Linked DNA regions of Arabidopsis thaliana. The main gene of each other region encodes a partner of the protein of the gene in region 2 in a complex. Each region holds a gene or a part of one and is shown on either strand. Other genes may lie near its edges.

What was found. The genes of interacting proteins can lie anywhere in the genome.
Region 1: TAF13 (region 2) and TAF15b share a complex: the UniProt entries of both Arabidopsis thaliana proteins name them as parts of the TFIID complex.
Region 3: TAF13 (region 2) and TAF7 share a complex: the UniProt entries of both Arabidopsis thaliana proteins name them as parts of the TFIID complex.

The regions. Positions count from the first base shown.
Region 1 is NC_003076.8:23,636,873-23,643,014, forward strand, and holds TAF15b (TBP-associated factor 15B), read right to left. Parts: upstream 4,102-6,142; 5' UTR 3,983-4,101; coding exon 3,796-3,982; intron 3,666-3,795; coding exon 3,572-3,665; intron 3,450-3,571; coding exon 2,816-3,449; intron 2,677-2,815; coding exon 2,526-2,676; intron 2,447-2,525; coding exon 2,368-2,446; intron 1,818-2,367; coding exon 1,694-1,817; 3' UTR 1,576-1,693; exon of another isoform or gene 1,424-1,575; 3' UTR 543-1,423; downstream 1-542. Other genes in the region: AT5G58480 (O-Glycosyl hydrolases family 17 protein), read right to left, coding at 4,355-5,441, 5,611-5,954. UniProt on the Arabidopsis thaliana protein: TAFs are components of the transcription factor IID (TFIID) complex that is essential for mediating regulation of RNA polymerase transcription.
Region 2 is NC_003070.9:577,139-583,768, forward strand, and holds TAF13 (TBP-associated factor 13), read left to right. Parts: upstream 1-3,486; 5' UTR 3,487-3,607; intron 3,608-3,931; 5' UTR 3,932-3,945; coding exon 3,946-4,048; intron 4,049-4,139; coding exon 4,140-4,177; intron 4,178-4,358; coding exon 4,359-4,418; intron 4,419-4,505; coding exon 4,506-4,580; intron 4,581-4,676; coding exon 4,677-4,781; 3' UTR 4,782-5,172; downstream 5,173-6,630. Other genes in the region: AT1G02670 (P-loop containing nucleoside triphosphate hydrolases superfamily protein), read left to right, coding at 1-454, 646-768, 841-914, 1,043-1,106, 1,194-1,313, 1,397-1,482, 1,584-1,653, 1,757-1,879 and 6 more. UniProt on the Arabidopsis thaliana protein: TAFs are components of the transcription factor IID (TFIID) complex that is essential for mediating regulation of RNA polymerase transcription. May be involved in polycomb repressive complex 2 (PRC2) mediated repression.
Region 3 is NC_003070.9:20,627,481-20,631,379, forward strand, and holds TAF7 (TBP-associated factor 7), read right to left. Parts: upstream 2,213-3,899; 5' UTR 2,011-2,212; coding exon 1,896-2,010; intron 1,522-1,895; coding exon 1,388-1,521; intron 1,291-1,387; coding exon 1,171-1,290; intron 1,025-1,170; coding exon 674-1,024; 3' UTR 543-673; downstream 1-542. Other genes in the region: SCL33 (SC35-like splicing factor 33), read left to right, coding at 3,196-3,338, 3,562-3,639. UniProt on the Arabidopsis thaliana protein: TAFs are components of the transcription factor IID (TFIID) complex that is essential for mediating regulation of RNA polymerase transcription.

The DNA of each region.
Region 1 (6,142 bases), on a different chromosome or scaffold from region 2:
CATACATGATACATTATAACACATATGTAAAGGAAGATGCATACCTATGGATGTAAATTTCAGATTGAGTAGTAGAGAAATAGCTATAAAGCTCAGGAGGGATAGCGCCATGGCTCACCAGTGCTGTATGTTTTGTATATGCGTACATGTATATCTGTTGGCGCTATCCATCCTGAGTTCCATAGCTTCTTCTTGCTTATATGTGATTCCTACTTCATTCCCTCCTTCGTTTAGCTTCTTGTATACAAGATATGGTAATGGGTAAGTTTATTATTTGCATGTAAATATTTTACCTTTTTTTATATAGAATTGTTGAAGTTCAAATCATATAGAAAATTGTGTCGAAAGTGAGAAAAATCGCAGGTATTGTCAATTTGAGGTTAAGAACACATTAAGTATTAAATAGTGTGGTCTTACAAGTTACAACTTACAAATATCTGGATTTCACACATCTAAGCAGTTTGTTAGAATTACATTGTTACTGCCTTACTTTTTTTTTTTTTTTTTTTTTTTGTAAATTTATGCTTAAGACTACTGGTGGACTTTTATTAAGAATATGTATATTATCCAATATGTGTGTGAAAGGGATGGTAAATAAGTAATATCGCCGTGTGCTAGAGCCAGCCAGCGATTGAGCTGTGAATATGCAATGTTAGAAGATGGATTCTCTTTGTCGAATTGAGAATGGGAATCTTGAAACTAATGTTACAGGATTCCAAATTTCCTGGATTCTTTCTCTCGTCCATATTTTCTACACAACAAGTCATTAATAAACTTTCTCTTGGGATTTTCGGCATTAGTCTTTTTTGTTCCTATAATTTCAACATAAACTTTCGTTACATGTAACACATTAAAGAGTTGGCCAATCCGGCACTTGACCAAAAGGTCATGACATATACACATAGAGAACTTTACGAGACACCCTTCTCTTTAGTCCTTGGGATCCAGATTGAACGATTAACTATTTATTAACAACGTCTTTTATCCAAAAAAAGGCCACTCATTTGTAAAACCCTAATCCTAATCATAGCCCCAGTGAGTGAAGTTGGCAATAAAATCATCAAGTTGATCTTTGAAAGGTCACTGCATACTTCAGATCAACTGATCAGACACAAGTGCCTAGCCATCCCCCACTCCTGCCAATTCTCGAGGAACACATGTTGCTATAAAAGAAGTTTGCGAGAAAAAACGATAACAACTCCGAAAATTGTAAAGAGAAGTGTGGTTGCCTAAATGAATGCATTACACAATACAACATGAAAACATACGACTGTTTTGTTTGTGTTGAACAGAGTCAAAAAAAGAAGGAAGAGAAGCAAAAAAGGGACTTCTGGTGTTGAAAGAAGTAATCAAGATGAATGCACTCACCTGAAATCATCATAGCACCAATTTGCAATGCATTTTGCAGTTAAATATCAGCTTCCTTCAATAAAACAAAAAACAAACATTTCACATCGTGAAAAACAAACTAAAAATAAACCGGAGATGCATGAATAATAGATCCCCAAAGAAACAGAACAAGTAGGGAGAAAAAAGGGGTAATTTTGCTCAAGGTCAAAGTGAACAAAAACCTACCTCTTTTTTTGTATCTCCAATATGAGGATTCATAGAACATTTTACTAAAATTCCCTCCTTAACACACACAAAACTCTTAGAACACATAACAGCTGATTCATTCATTCCTCTCTTTCTCTCAATATGGACGAGACCGGTTTCCCCCATGGTGGTTTCTGTCTGGCCCTGAACTGTAGTTGTCTCTTCTTCTGTCTCCCCCACCACCACCATAGCCACCACCTCCTCCTCCTCTACCCCCACCTCTGCGACATTCACAAGTTTGCAAGGACAACATTATTAGATCAGACACAGACATCTCTAATTAAAACCAGCTTACTACGTAAGATGAAGTGACTCAACACACAACAAAGACGAGTCTTATAGAGCATGGAAAACCAGATAAAGATACAACTTATATGGGGAATTACTAGGAGCTTATAAGAAGCATGAACAAACAACAGATCTCTTCACAACCAAGAGCAGCCACAGCTATAGGTTACAAGATAACTACATAGATTTATTTCCTATGGCATGAACATAGACCTAAGGCATAATTTGATGACATACGAACTCCCAACCCTTTCTGTCATACCCAGATGAGTGTACAAAGCAAATCCCCAGTAGGATACAAGATCCAAACAGTCTTCAGAGACAAGGAACATAAACTTAGCATTGCAAAAACTCATATTCCCTACTAAAATTATAAAGCTAAAAGCCTAAAACAACTAGAGTACAAACACCTATAAGATGGAGCAGGTGGTAACAGCTAAATGGTAACAAAAAAGAATGCTGATAAATGATCAGGACAGCTACCTCTGGTCAAAGGTAGGAGCACGGGGCGCAGACTTTTCTGCCATCGTTACACTAATCTTGTTCCCCCTCATTTCGTAATCTACAAAACAATCCACCACCATTCACGAAACAGAACTTTTAAACAATTTTAAGCTAGACAGCAATTCCATAGTACATACTGTTGAAAAAGCCGCCTGCAGAGTGTGCAGCGCTGGGATCTTCATAAGCCAGACAGGCGTCACCTTTATAGTTACCCTTCTCATCAGTGTAAATCTTAATATTATAGGGCCACTGATCTTTGTAACCACGCTTCTGCTTAATTCTTCCAACCTAAAATAGATCCAACCAGACACACTTTATCAGCACACCAATAAACATGTACACAAACAAGAACTTAATAACTTATAGCAAGGGAAAGGCTTATTCCAAGATATAAAACACAACAGAAGTAAAAGACCAGTGTTATTACTTGGCCAATGCCACCAAAGAGATCCTTGAGTTCATCAGTTGTCACATCCGGAGGTAAATTAGAGATGTATATTCTAGCATTATCACAATTATCATCACAATCAGCATCGCACTGCTTGACTTTTTCAGTAGCTGCATCTTCATAACTAGCTTCCTGCCGTCGAGGAGCACTACCACCATCATAGCCGCCACTCCTACCACCACGACCACCAGTGCTCGGTGCATCACTGCCATAACCCCCTCGTGGACCACCATATGACGGCGGGCCACCAGAATAGCTTGTAGGCGGGGGAACAGCTTCCATTCCATAACCCGTGGGTGGAGGATAACTTCCAGAACCATCGTAGGATGGAATAGCTGCAGCAGGAGGAGGAGCCTGACCATACGAACCATTTTCCCTCTGACTACCACTACCATAGCTACCACCACTCCTACTTCCACCATCATATCTACTACTCTCATAGCTCCTACCACTATCGTTTCTACCACCACGACCACCCCCACGATCACTGTCACCTCCACCTCGGCTATATCCACCACCTCCACGATCATTAGCACCAGAACTAGTACCAGAAGGAGCAAGTGCACCACACTTGTTACATTCAACTCTCCTTGCAAAGTTCACGTTCCCACAACTATACAAACAGTTTCGAGGGTAAACAATTTCAAAACATGCTCCCACAAAGGAATTCAACAGCTAATTCAATTCATTACATATGCAGAAAGAATGGAATCCCAAATAATTTGCAATCATTACCTGGGGTTGGGACAACGCCAATCTCCATCTCTGCCTCCGCCGCCACTTCCTCTTCCACCGCGATCACCTCCTTGATATCCACCACCTCCACCGCCTAAATCAAAACGAATCATCGAAATAGTGAGAAACTAAAGATTTAACAAAAGTAGCTCAGCAAGGAATGGAGAAATCTAAAGAATCATAAGGTTATATCAATCAGATCTGCAACAATCTAAATCACAAACCTCGATTTCCTCTACCACCGCCTCCACCGTAACCACCGCGTCCGCCGTAACTACCTCCGCCAGAGGCACCGCGTCCACCATATCCAGCATCACCACCTCCATAACCTCCCCCTCCGCCGTATCCATCACCACCGTACGACGGAATAGGCGCACCTCCGCCGCCGTCTTGATTGTACATCCCAGCCATGACCTAGGGTTTGCGATAAACAACAGACCAAAACTCTTAACGAATCGTGTGAGAGCCTTTTTAGACGTAGAATAAAAAATCTCGCGTTTTATTTATATTTCTCTCAAAAATAGTGGAACTTTATTATTGCATTTATCTTAAATCTTAAATTCTTTTACATCTTATCTTTTACCGACCGGTTTCCCAAAATAACTGGACTTGCTTTTTTTATCAAATAAGACAACATGGTTCTAAGGCCCATAATCATCTAACCTTTACGAAGGCCCAGCCCAATAACAGTTATTTTTTACGTAGCCCAATACAGTTTTGAAATGTGGCTATTAGAGAGAAATTAGAGGCAAAATCCACCAAAATTTTGCTATAACTACAACTTTAAAAGAGTCCGGACAGTAGGAACAATAAGAGGAGAGGCCAGCTCTGAAAGAAATTTGGAGTTTGCGAAGATGAATGAGAAGTGTCAAGTTGAATCGAGAACCGGCAATTATCCTCAGAAGGATCAACAGTAGTGATCAAACCAAGTCCACCAAAGTTGCAGCTTTCTGCACTGTGATCATTTTGCTGGTACAAGCTATTGAACGCGTATGAAACGTTGCCTGGCCATCTGATGCCTGAACACGACCCGCCAGGAAGTATCGATGTACAGTCCGCAACAGCACACGCTTCTAATGCTCTTGCTGACGCGTTTGACAAGTCCTTGTTATTGTTCACCACACACCACTTAGGAGGAAGGTACTGAACATTCTGCGCGTTTACCTGATTCTTATGGTTGAAACTGAAATTGTATTTGGCTTGACCGTCGAAAGTGAACACTCCCCAGTGCCTCTCAAAGTTCCCAGCAGATAAGTTTCTCTGATCTTCGTCCAAGAGACTTTCAATGTAGGTTTCAACAGGAGGACGCGGGAGAGAGGCCGTCTTTTTCTCCAAGTGAACTATCAGTCCTTTAAAGAACGCCTCAGCAGTCAGTGATGTTGCATTTTCTGCTCCATCTGTAGGCCAACCGATCTTTGACACAACGATATCCACCTCCGAAAACCCAATTGTGAACAATGCAGAGACAAGTGTGTCATAGCTTAGATCAAAGCTGTTTCTGTAGGTTTTACGTCCGTCTTTGTGAGCCTTTGCTGTTTCTTTAAAGAGGCTAAAGTCAAGGGAGATGTTCTTGTTCTGGTGAAAGCTTAGGAAAGGAGAGATTGTCACAAAAAAAGGAGAGTGGTGCTTTGTGAGAAAGGAGAGGAGTTCAATCATCGTCTTGTTGAGGTCAGCCCTAAAGTGTCCTGAAGAAGGTCGACCAGATTCAGAAAGAAAGGAATCAAAGCTTGAGGGGACTACAACCTTCACTTCATTTGCCAAGTTCGCCTTAACTAAAGCATTTTGGATATTCATAGCTGCCCCAATCACAAAAGGCTTATACTGATTGCCATAGCTCTGGAGAAATGGCTCTTCTCCAACTGCTACATACCTGAAAATCAATTCTTTTCTTTAATGATAATTTCACAATAAGAAGATTGGCAATTTGGCATTGAAACAAATCCGACTCATTCACATTCCATAAGTTAAATTCCAGCTTAAAAATCTTAAATCTATATATATATAACTGGATAAGCAGAAGAGAAGGAGAAAGAAGATACTCGATTCGAACTCTGTTTCCACCGTTGAAGTAACGAGTGACATTGTCATGTACCCAGCTCTCTGCTACCTTTACGGATGCATTCAAGCTCTTGAGCATCGAATTTTGGATTCCGATAGTGACACCAATATTAGAACCAGAGAGAGCTCGGAGAACTTTTGGGTCGGCATCGAAGAGCTTCACTTTGACAATGCCGTTTGATTTCAGAAGCTCTACAACCTTTGAAGGCGGAAGAGGGTGCGACGCTTCTGTCCCCCAATTTATGCCAACTGCTCTGACGGTTGTTCCCGTCAAGCTCAACCCTGCCGTGACGGCGAGGAGGAGGAGAAACAGCCGACGAGCCATCAAATCCAGTGAATCTCGTACTTCCACGATAATGTCGGGCCGAGAAATTCAATGTTTAAAAAAACAAAACACTGCGTGCCGTTTCACGACTCAGCATCTCACTGTTATTTAGCTATCAAAACGACACGGTGTTTAGAAATTGGGCTTGGGCTTCACATTCCCTAATCATCATCATCTCTGAAATAGAA
Region 2 (6,630 bases):
GCAGCCTCTAGATTTGATTATACCGCTACTAAAGTACCAAAAGGAGTTTTTGGCTTGGGCTACAATACAGGAACTATCAGCCGTAAGAGGAGGCATTCTCGCTGATGAGATGGGAATGGGGAAAACAATACAAGCCATCTCTCTCGTTCTTGCCAGACGGGAAGTTGACAGAGCCAAATCTAGGGAAGCAGTTGGGCACACCCTTGTGCTTGTTCCTCCTGTTGCTCTTTCTCAGTGGTTAGATGAGATTTCTCGGTTGACATCCCCGGGAAGCACCAGGGTTCTTCAATACCATGGGCCGAAGAGAGACAAGAATGTTCAAAAGTTAATGAATTACGACTTTGTTTTGACAACATCTCCCATAGTTGAGAATGAATATAGGAAGGATGAAGGAGTGGACGAAACAATGTCTCCTTTACACTCTATTAAGTGGAATCGTATCATCGTCGATGAGGTCAGTACCAAGACCTGCTGGTTCTTCTTCTTTTCCATTTTCAAGCATGTAAGGAAAGGGGACTGTGAGATTTATTGTACAGTAAACCACAGCAGGGGAAGCTCACTGCAAATTTGCTTTTTGTGAATCTTTTATCCTTCAGGGGAAGCTCACTGCAAATTTGATATAATTCCCGTTTGTCTTCATATCAGGCTCATGATATCAAAAACAGAAGTAGTCGCACTGCCAAAGCTGTTTTTGCTTTGGAGGCGACCTACAGATGGGCTCTGAGTGGTACCCCTCTCCAGAATGATGTTGACGAGCTCTACTCCCTGGTTAGTTACTCTTTCCTCAACTTTTTCTATAGCACGTAATGATATCTCAACATTGCTGATTGTTTGTCCCAGATACGCTTCCTTCGCGTTTCGCCATACTCATATTACTTTTGCAAGAAATGTGACTGTGAAGTTCTTGATCGGAGGTAACATCTTACCACTCTCAATTCCTGGTTACTTTCTCCTTTCCCATACTTCTGTTTGATAGTTCATAACAATCTTTGCTGTTTCATTTCCTTTGTCCATTGCCTTTGGGCTTTGGCGGTGACTGCAGTGCGCATCGAAAATGTCCCAGCTGTCCTCATAATGCAAATCAACACATCTCTTGGTGGAAAGAGGTAACTTTGAGGTGCCATTATTAAAAACATTTTAAAAGCAGGATCACCATTATGTTCTTTGGTTTTTATATTTTCCAATCTTGCTAGAATGTGGACAAACGGAGAAACAGAGCCTGTATATTCCTTAAACAAAATGTTCTAAAGGACATTCTACTAAGACGTACTAAATTGGGCCGGGCAGCTGACCTTGCTCTTCCTTCTAGAATCGTATGTTCCTTTCTCTCCCTTGTCTGATATAAATGAAGCTTGGTATAGTTGCTTCCGAGCTTGATCTCTACATATAAATTTAGATCTCTCTGAGGCGAGATGCACTAAGTGTAGTAGAAGCTGATTTCTATGAATCACTATACAAAGTTAGCAAGACAACATTTGATGGGTAAGTTACTTTTGTTCTATGGATTTTCACTGGTTTCTGCTCCATGCTTTGTGTAAACTGAATTTTATTATTAAATCTGACATGTACATTTGTTTCTGCAGGTATATTCAGGCTGGGACATTGATGAATAACTATGCACATATATTTGGTCTTCTTATCCGACTGAGACAAGTGAGTGGTATCGATAGTTTTGTTGTTCTATTTACAAGCCAGTGCATGTTTTGGATGATATAGGTATATAGATTTCTGATGCATTTTCTTGCAATTTTTTCAGGCTGTTGATCATCCATACCTGGTGAGTTATTCTAGTCCTAGTGGCGCTAACGCTAACTTGCTTGATGCGAACAAAAATGAGAAAGAATGTGGTTTCGGCCATGACCCTTCCAAGGACTACTTTGTAAGTGTTCCAGTCGATATATTGTTGCTATTTCATACTATCTCGACTCTTGTTTCTCAGTAACTGTATCTTCTGGAAATAGCTGCCACCATTTTACACTTTCTTAAAGAATCATCGGATGACTAATGTTGGACTTAACTTGTTCGGTTAATATGTCTTTGGTTCTCTTACTTTGAAGGTGACTTCTAGTGAACATCAGGCAAGCAAGACAAAGCTTAAAGGATTTAGAGCCTCTAGCATTTTAAATCGGATAAACCTCGATGATTTTAAAACAAGTACAAAGATTGAGGCTTTGGTATGTGCCCTTTGAGATCTACAGCTTCTGTCTCTCCCACGCTTAAAGTTTCTTTGGAGATTGGAGGCTTTATCTAACCATTTGGTGATAAAAAAAATTTGTATGCAGAGAGAAGAAATCAGGTTCATGGTTGAAAGAGATTGGTCTGCCAAAGCAATAGTATTCAGCCAGTTCACATCATTCTTGGACCTGATAAGTTACGCCTTGGGGAAGGTAATTTCAAGCGCAACCAACTACAAAATGCTACTACTACTATATCTGTGCTCCTTTAACATTCTCTTTAATCATAATGAGACATTGAATAAAAATGATTGACTCATTTTGTACAACGCAGTCTGGGGTTAGCTGTGTTCAACTGGTGGGAAGCATGTCCAAGGCAGCTAAAGATGCTGCACTCAAAAATTTTAAAGAAGAGCCAGATTGCAGAGTTTTATTAATGAGCTTGCAAGCTGGAGGGGTTGCTCTAAATCTAACAGCCGCTTCGCATGTAAGAAGTGTACAACTTATAAAACAGTTGCTCCTAGAACATGTTTTATTCACTGACATTCGGGTGTTTGATTGTATAGGTGTTCATGATGGACCCGTGGTGGAACCCAGCGGTTGAGAGGCAAGCACAGGACAGAATACATAGGATCGGACAGTGCAAGCCTGTCAGGTTATATTTTTGAGTTGTCCTTCAATATACTGTATGTTGTTTTGGTGGGGGAAGAAAGAAGAAACATTTGGTTGTGTGACAGGGTTGTAAGATTCATAATGGAGAAAACAGTAGAGGAAAAGATACTAACGCTTCAAAAGAAGAAGGAAGATTTGTTTGAAAGGTTTCTTATTTTAAACGATACGCTTCTCTCAACTTTGCTGGTTTCTTATTGTCAACTGTATGAAGCCTATATGAAGACATATTTGCTTTGTTACAGTACGTTAGGTGACTCTGAAGAGGCCGTTGTACAAAAGCTGGGAGAAGACGATATCAAGTCCCTGTTCGCATAACCAAATCTTGTAGATGAAGAACATGATAGAAAATTTGTATAGATAGAAAAAAGAGTCTTGACAGGACAAAATTAGGCTCAAGCTAAAAGATTTGATACATACTTGTGTAATATGATGAGCACCGGATAGATTGTATATGAATCGGATCACAAACTTTTCCTTCTCCCGAAGAATATTGAGCATGAGGCCATGGCCGGTTTGAGCCATACCGTGAGAACTTAGTTACAATGTCGGTCGACTAGTGTACGGGTTTCTGGTTTAGATTATGGGCTGGTTTAATATAAATGGGCCTATTTATTAAGCCCAATTACTTCGTATGTAATGCAATGTGCTTCTTCTACGAGAGAGAGAGAGATCAGTGAACAAGTCCCCGTTTCTTCGTTCTCATCATCTTCATCGCCGATTTTGCAACGACCACCTCTGCTACTCCCGTCGATCAATCTACGGTGAGCTCTCTGCTCTCACTATTCCCTTTTCAATTTTCATTCCTTTTCCATGACGACAAATATTTGGATAAAGAACCTTATTCGATTTAACTCCGTTGGTTGTTGTACTGTACCGGAATACAACTTTCCGGTAGCTCTCTGGTTTTGATTGCGGTAGAAATCTAGAATATAGGCTCGGAATTTCATTTTCTAGTTGAGATTACACTGTTTTTTCTTTTTTGAAAATTTTCACCTAGGGTTAGTATTTGACTCAATTGGATTTTGTCGGTAGAGGAATTTCACTTATTTTTCTATTATTTTGCTCTCCTGGATTTTGATTATCAGAAGAAGAAGAAGAGATGAGTAACACACCAGCAGCGGCGGCGTCATCATCGTCTAAATCGAAAGCTGCGGGAACTTCTCAGCCACAGGAAAAGCGCAAAACTCTCTTTCAAAAAGAATGTAAAGTCTTTAGTTAAAACCAGATTTTTGTATTCTTCATTTTGTGATTCTTCTGGTAACAATGGTTTTGGTGCTTTTGTTGATTTTTCAGTGCAGCATATGATGTATGGATTTGGCGACGAGCAAAACGTAAGCCGCTATCCTCTTCATTACTATTTTGTTGCCATATGAACCGTATTTGTAGATATAGTTTCATTCCAATACAAGTAACGAATTAGGTAGAGAATCTTTGCTTTAAAGGGTTCTTGGTCGTGTAACATCTTTTAGTGTTTTACCACCTGAAACTGATCCAAAACTCCTCTGTATTTAGCCTCTTCCAGAGTCTGTGGCGCTTGTAGAAGACATTGTTGTGGAATACGTCACAGATTTGGTAGTGAGCTTTTTCTTTTTGTGAATGATTCATGTTTTACATTACAAGCGGAGAGATATTAGCTAACAAGTGATGTTTCAATGGCAGACACATAAAGCTCAAGAAATTGGTTCAAAGCGAGGAAGACTTCTAGTTGATGATTTCTTGTATCTTATCCGCAAGGTAAAAATTCTTTTTAAAAAGTACACAATCGATGATTGAGATGGTTTATGGTTTTGTATTCTATATCCGAAACTTTGGCGTCTTTGATTTATGCAGGATTTGCCAAAACTGAACCGCTGTAGAGAACTGTTGGCGATGCAGGAAGAGCTGAAACAAGCACGCAAAGCTTTTGATGTCGACGAAAAGGAACTCGTTGATTGATCTTGCTTTTCCTCAACGGGAGGAACAAATGCTAGGTAAGAGGAACCTCATGGATGCCGGACTAGGGACAGCGTTTTAGGTTGTAATCAGAATTCGAAGCACAGTAGCAAAAAAAAAGTGTGTTGACTTAAAAAAGGTGAAAAAAAATCTTGCACAAGGCCGACTCATATTAAATGTAGGCCCATTAGAAGAAAGCCCATTATCTAGCATCCCGTATATATCTACGGACGACCTTTAATTTTTCTTGAGTCAGGAATTTCGAAACCCTAAAAATTTAGAATAACCACCCGATTTTTGTTTCTTTCATTAAATTAATTACCGCAATAATTATAAAATTAGTCATCATTATAAGACTTTTGTTTTTCTCTAAATTTTTCGTCATCTTTCTGATATTTTGATTCATTATTTTACCATGGAAACAATAAATAAGAATGGTGATCAATTACCAACTAAAGAAAATCATTGTGATCAATTAGAGATAGAGCAAATAAACAACACGAGCATGAAGAAGAAAAAGTCATCACGTGGGATGCACATGTTCTCCGTCGTCATGTTCATGCTTCGTCGCCGCCGGGGAGAAAACCCTTCAACACCAGGTTCTGGCGGCGAGTCGTTAAGTCCGTACGTAAACTCCGTTTCGAAATTACGATAATGCCATCGTCAACTTTTACTAACACAATTGTTCTCCCTCCGGCTCCTCCTCCTCTGCCAGCGACAGAAATGGGAGGAGACGATGGTGATAATGATAATGAAGATGATGATGATTCCGAGGGTCGTTTATCAGAGACTATGGAGGTTTTCACGGCGGCTTCATCTTCATCATCATCAGGAATCTCGGGATATGGATCAGCCATGTCCTTATATGATGATGATATTGATGAGGAAGAAGATGAATGTTATAGTGATGTGGAAGGAGGAGACGATATGATTGATGAGAAAGCTGAGGTTCTATGCAATAATGAAGATGCAAAATCAGGTTTACACTGATCGTTGCAAAGCCAAAGGGATATATAGTGATGCATTAATGATCTTATTAATTATGGTTCGTATCATCTATCAAGTTTACGTCATCATCATTCAGGTTTTAATTTCTTGGTCATTTTTGGTTTTTGTATTATAATTTAATTTAATTCCTTTTAACTTTTTCTTCATTTTTGTTTCTGTAATTAGTGAGTGTATTTGAATTCATTAATGAGAAAATAGGAGAATGAAGTATATCTACTAAATTCTATTTGTGTTTGTGGGGAATGTTAAATTTGGTTTGCAGATTAAAGATCTCGTTAAATATTTTATGTTCAATGTTTTCAATCGGAAATTGGTCATATTAATAGCACATTTGACCAATTCATTGAATCGAGTTCTTTTCGAAAATTGAAGACTTTGATAATACCAACCGTTTATATTATGCATGGACATATGCGTAAGTGAAAAATCATACTGAGCGATGGTAACAATTACACAGTTGATTCCATTTCGTGAAAAACTCATAGAAACAACGGTGACAAATGAAGTTTCCATAGCCAAGAATTGGATCCTCGCCATACGATTAACCTACCGAGATGAACCAACGGTGATCATCTCTCTAAACTCCAAGACCAATCCTCAAGATGATGCAAAAATCTCGACTCTTCAACTATGCATCAAAACCAAATGCCTCATACTCCAACTACTTCATATGAAACAAAATACCAATCTCGGCGAATGCCTTAGTGATCTATTTCGTGATGAGAGGTTTGTTTTTGTAGGAATAGGTATTGCTAAAACTGTCGCTAAGCTCGGTGGGCTAGTTAGAGTAGTGGTTAAGAAAGTTGACGTTCGTGATCTGGTAAAGGTAAATTTTCCATTTAGT
Region 3 (3,899 bases), about 20 Mb from region 2:
CCCTTGACGTTTTTCTTTCTTCTCAATGAGTGTTTATAAAAGCTGTGGAAGCTTCTTGATACAAAGACTAAAAAGAATTTATAGAAAGAACACGAAGAAGATGAAGAGGAAGATCGTGACGGCAACTACTTACGAGGCTCTACACATTTGTTTTAGCTTCGGGTTGTTTTGTTTGAAAAATGACATAATTCATAATTGTGTATGTAATGAAAGGTAGACATGGTTGCACGTATTCACTATTCAGGATAGAAAATGGAGGGACCGATAATTAGAATCTCAATTTCTAGGCAGAGTGTCAATTTTCTTTTCTTATTCTTGGCATTGTAGAAAATGACCCGGAAGAAAAACCTTAAAGTTTAATGAAGGCGATGGTTGGTGTTTGGATTAGATTCCAGCTTTTGATAGGTTTAGCATCAACAATGTCTTGGTTCTTGTTCTTTAAGTCTAAGGTTTTTCTTTTACTATCAATCTTTGGTTCATTCCTGAAACTGTCTTCAAGAAATAACCGAAATTGAACTAGAATAAACAGAATCTTTGGTGTAGTTTGAACGCAAAACAACTTTTCCATTGAAAAAGGTCGAACAAGACATCATCAAATCATGGGGACATAATTATCCATGATTTTCTAAGACAGGACTTGCGCAAACTCTAAGCTTTCGTAAGAAAAATCTCTTTATATAATAATAAACTCACATTGAATCATCAGAATCTTCTGATTCACTTCTCTCCGGTTCAACTCCTGTTGGATTACTAGTGCCTGTCTCAGGAGCTTCAGGCTTTTCAACAGGTGTAGGTGAAGAAGAAGATACTTTCTTACTTGCATTACTAGCATTCTCGTTCGTAGCTGGTTCCTCTTGCTCATGTACCTACACCAAAAAAAGTTCAAATAAATGAAGTTACTAAATCCAAGGAGCAAATATAGACACATCATGTGTCGAAAATAGAAAGAAAAGCTTACATTTTCTACCGTTCCGCCACTCAATATATTCAACAAGTCTCTCTCAACCCGCTGTACAAGCTCCGGCTGCAACATTTTGGCAAATCAATATGTTAACTTAATAGAAAGAACTTTGGAGTTCCAAAAGATACGTTTCACTACAGACTTTCAATCATAATCACAAGTATTAGTGAAACAATGTTGATGGATAGATAACAACAAATGAAAATTACATTAAGGTCAGGCTCTCGACGAAATCTCCTCTTTCGAGCATCCTTCATTGGAGGAGTTAGACCATGTCTGTATTCAACTGTATTAGGCGCAGGATCACCAGGCTCCCTAACCATGATCATCTGTGTGCCAAATCAAAGCATCCATATTGAGTTTTAGTCCAAAATTACAGAAGTTAACGCATATAAGTAAAAGATGAATCAAGTAACTTGATTTTACCTGCCCAATATCAGCAGTTTTGACTAATGCACAATCATCATAAGTTTTAAAAGACTCAACAACTGCAGGGAGATCAAGCAGAGAAGCCGGGAACTCGTCGTTTCCAATCATAAACGTCCCGTTTCTCCCATCCTCTGCAAATTCAGTTCACACAAACATTACGTATCAAGTTTGCTCCAGAGACAATATGCAAATGGATTTCTAGACAAACTATAATGATGCAACAAGAATGTCTTTTGGCTTCTTTGACAAAACAGACAATTCACAACATTAAGCTGATCCAGGAGACACAAATCACAAGCTTTGATCCTTAATCAGATTCAAGAATGTCTTTTGGGCAAACCAACATTCAAGAACTCATCACGTGACACAAGGAGCAATCCCCGAAACGATCCAGACACTAATTTCATTGATTGACGACTAAAGGACATAAATTTAAGAAAAAGGATGAAACTTTAACCCAGATGTAATGTGCCAAAAAAGAGAGAAACCCTTTAAAAATTGGTACCTGAAAAAAACAAATCCAAAGGGATTTCGTCGGAAGTAGAAGCATCCTCGCTTAAAAGCCGATCAATTCGTTCTGAAACAGACGGTGGAACCCTAAGTATGAACTGTTCTTCCATTGTAGATACCAACAGCTTGACTTGAATTCTTCTTCTTAATCAATCCAGAAACGTGAATTCGCGAACGCAGATCGTATCGAATACGTATACTTCGGTCTGTTGATGTCGTAAGTCGAAAAGAGACGAGAATCTATTGAACTGAAACACGAATTCTTTGTTATGTTAGAGAGAGAGAGAGAGAGAGAGAGAGAGAGAGACATTATAAGATAAACCTTCTAGAAGTATCCTTTTAACAATTTATTATTTTATTTCCCTCCCTAAAGGTTTCAAGATTTATGTTTTGACCAAAATAATTATAAAAGGTACAAACAGAACCCAACAATTGGTGAAAAATCACCAATTTGCTATTTAATTCTATTGAATTTTACATTTTTAGTTCCTCTTAGATAATTGATCTCACTAAGTATAAATGTATAATGATAATAAAAAGGAAGATAATTTAATTACCAGAAATTGGAATGGAGCATCTATCAAATAGAAAACTTTAAGGGGATTTTAATACTTTAAAATAATTTTGAGGGGGTTAAATGTAAAACGTAAATAATATAAAGAAACCCTAATAAATAAGTCGTTCATTGATCAATCTTCTCCAATTCTTGCAGCATCACTTCTCCGTCGTTCCTCACCACCGAGATTCGTTCACCGGTAAGTCTTATCCCTGATATTTTGCTCTTCTTCCCAACCGTATATACCCGTATCTTCTTCTTTCTCTGTCGAATAAACTTGGCTTTTCCGACTTCGATTCCTTCAATTGTAAACAACTTCGTTGCCCGTACAACTTTTTGAGTCCGGTGAAAGATCCCGTGACGGAAAAAACTGTAGATCAGGCAATTATTATGTCTATACATCGATATAAAGGATTGAATCGTTCATCTTAAGTAAGTTTGACGAAAGTTGTGATCTTTTGTGCCTATTCACATATAACGTTTCTTAGCTCCTATCTTTTGAAATTGAGCTGATTCGATCTCTACCTGAATTGCATGTGATCTTATTTTGATATAATTTACTATTCAATTAGAAAATATGATCTTTCTAGATTGATTGCTTCTTTAAAGTTCTCTTAGACGCTGGTGTTATAGCTCTTGTGTTTGTGGTCTCTTCTCTCTTAAATATCCAACCTCTTTTGGTGTATTTTCTAATCTAGTTTGTGTTGACTGACTGATAGAGAGATTGAAGCTTGACTCAATGAGGGGAAGGAGCTACACTCCGTCACCACCTAGGGGTTATGGGAGGAGGGGTCGAAGCCCAAGCCCTAGAGGCCGATATGGAGGTCGTAGCAGGGACCTCCCGACCAGTCTTTTGGTTCGCAATCTACGCCATGATTGCAGGTACATACTTTTGACTTCTCTATTATTTTCTTCAGCCATTGTGGATGATGTTATTGTTTGCACACCTCTTAAGCAAGAAGACTTGACACCTCTTAGCATATTTTGGCATGATGTTCTCTTATCTTTACTGTAAAGGTTTTCAAAAAGTTGACGTCAATGTATCTTCATTTCTTGGCTTTTAGCAAATTGTAATTCTCTTCTTACTCCTTGTCCTTTTCTTCAGGCAAGAAGATCTCAGGAAGTCGTTTGAGCAGTTTGGTCCTGTCAAGGACATTTACCTGCCAAGGGATTATTATACCGGGTGAGCATGTTTTGTAAATAGGACAACCAACACTTGATTTTTACTTATGTTCTGATTAGAAAATATCCCTATTTTCACATCTTCTTTCTTGATTTGTTTACTACGTTTATCTGCCTTTCCTTTTTCTTTCGGTCATCTCTTTGTGTCTTCTCATGGATACTAGGGCCTTATGAGAATCTTCTTAAAAACTGATTTCATAAATTAAATTTAGGCTCCATATTTTTCAGATAGTAATTTTCTGTGACATGACAATAGACAGT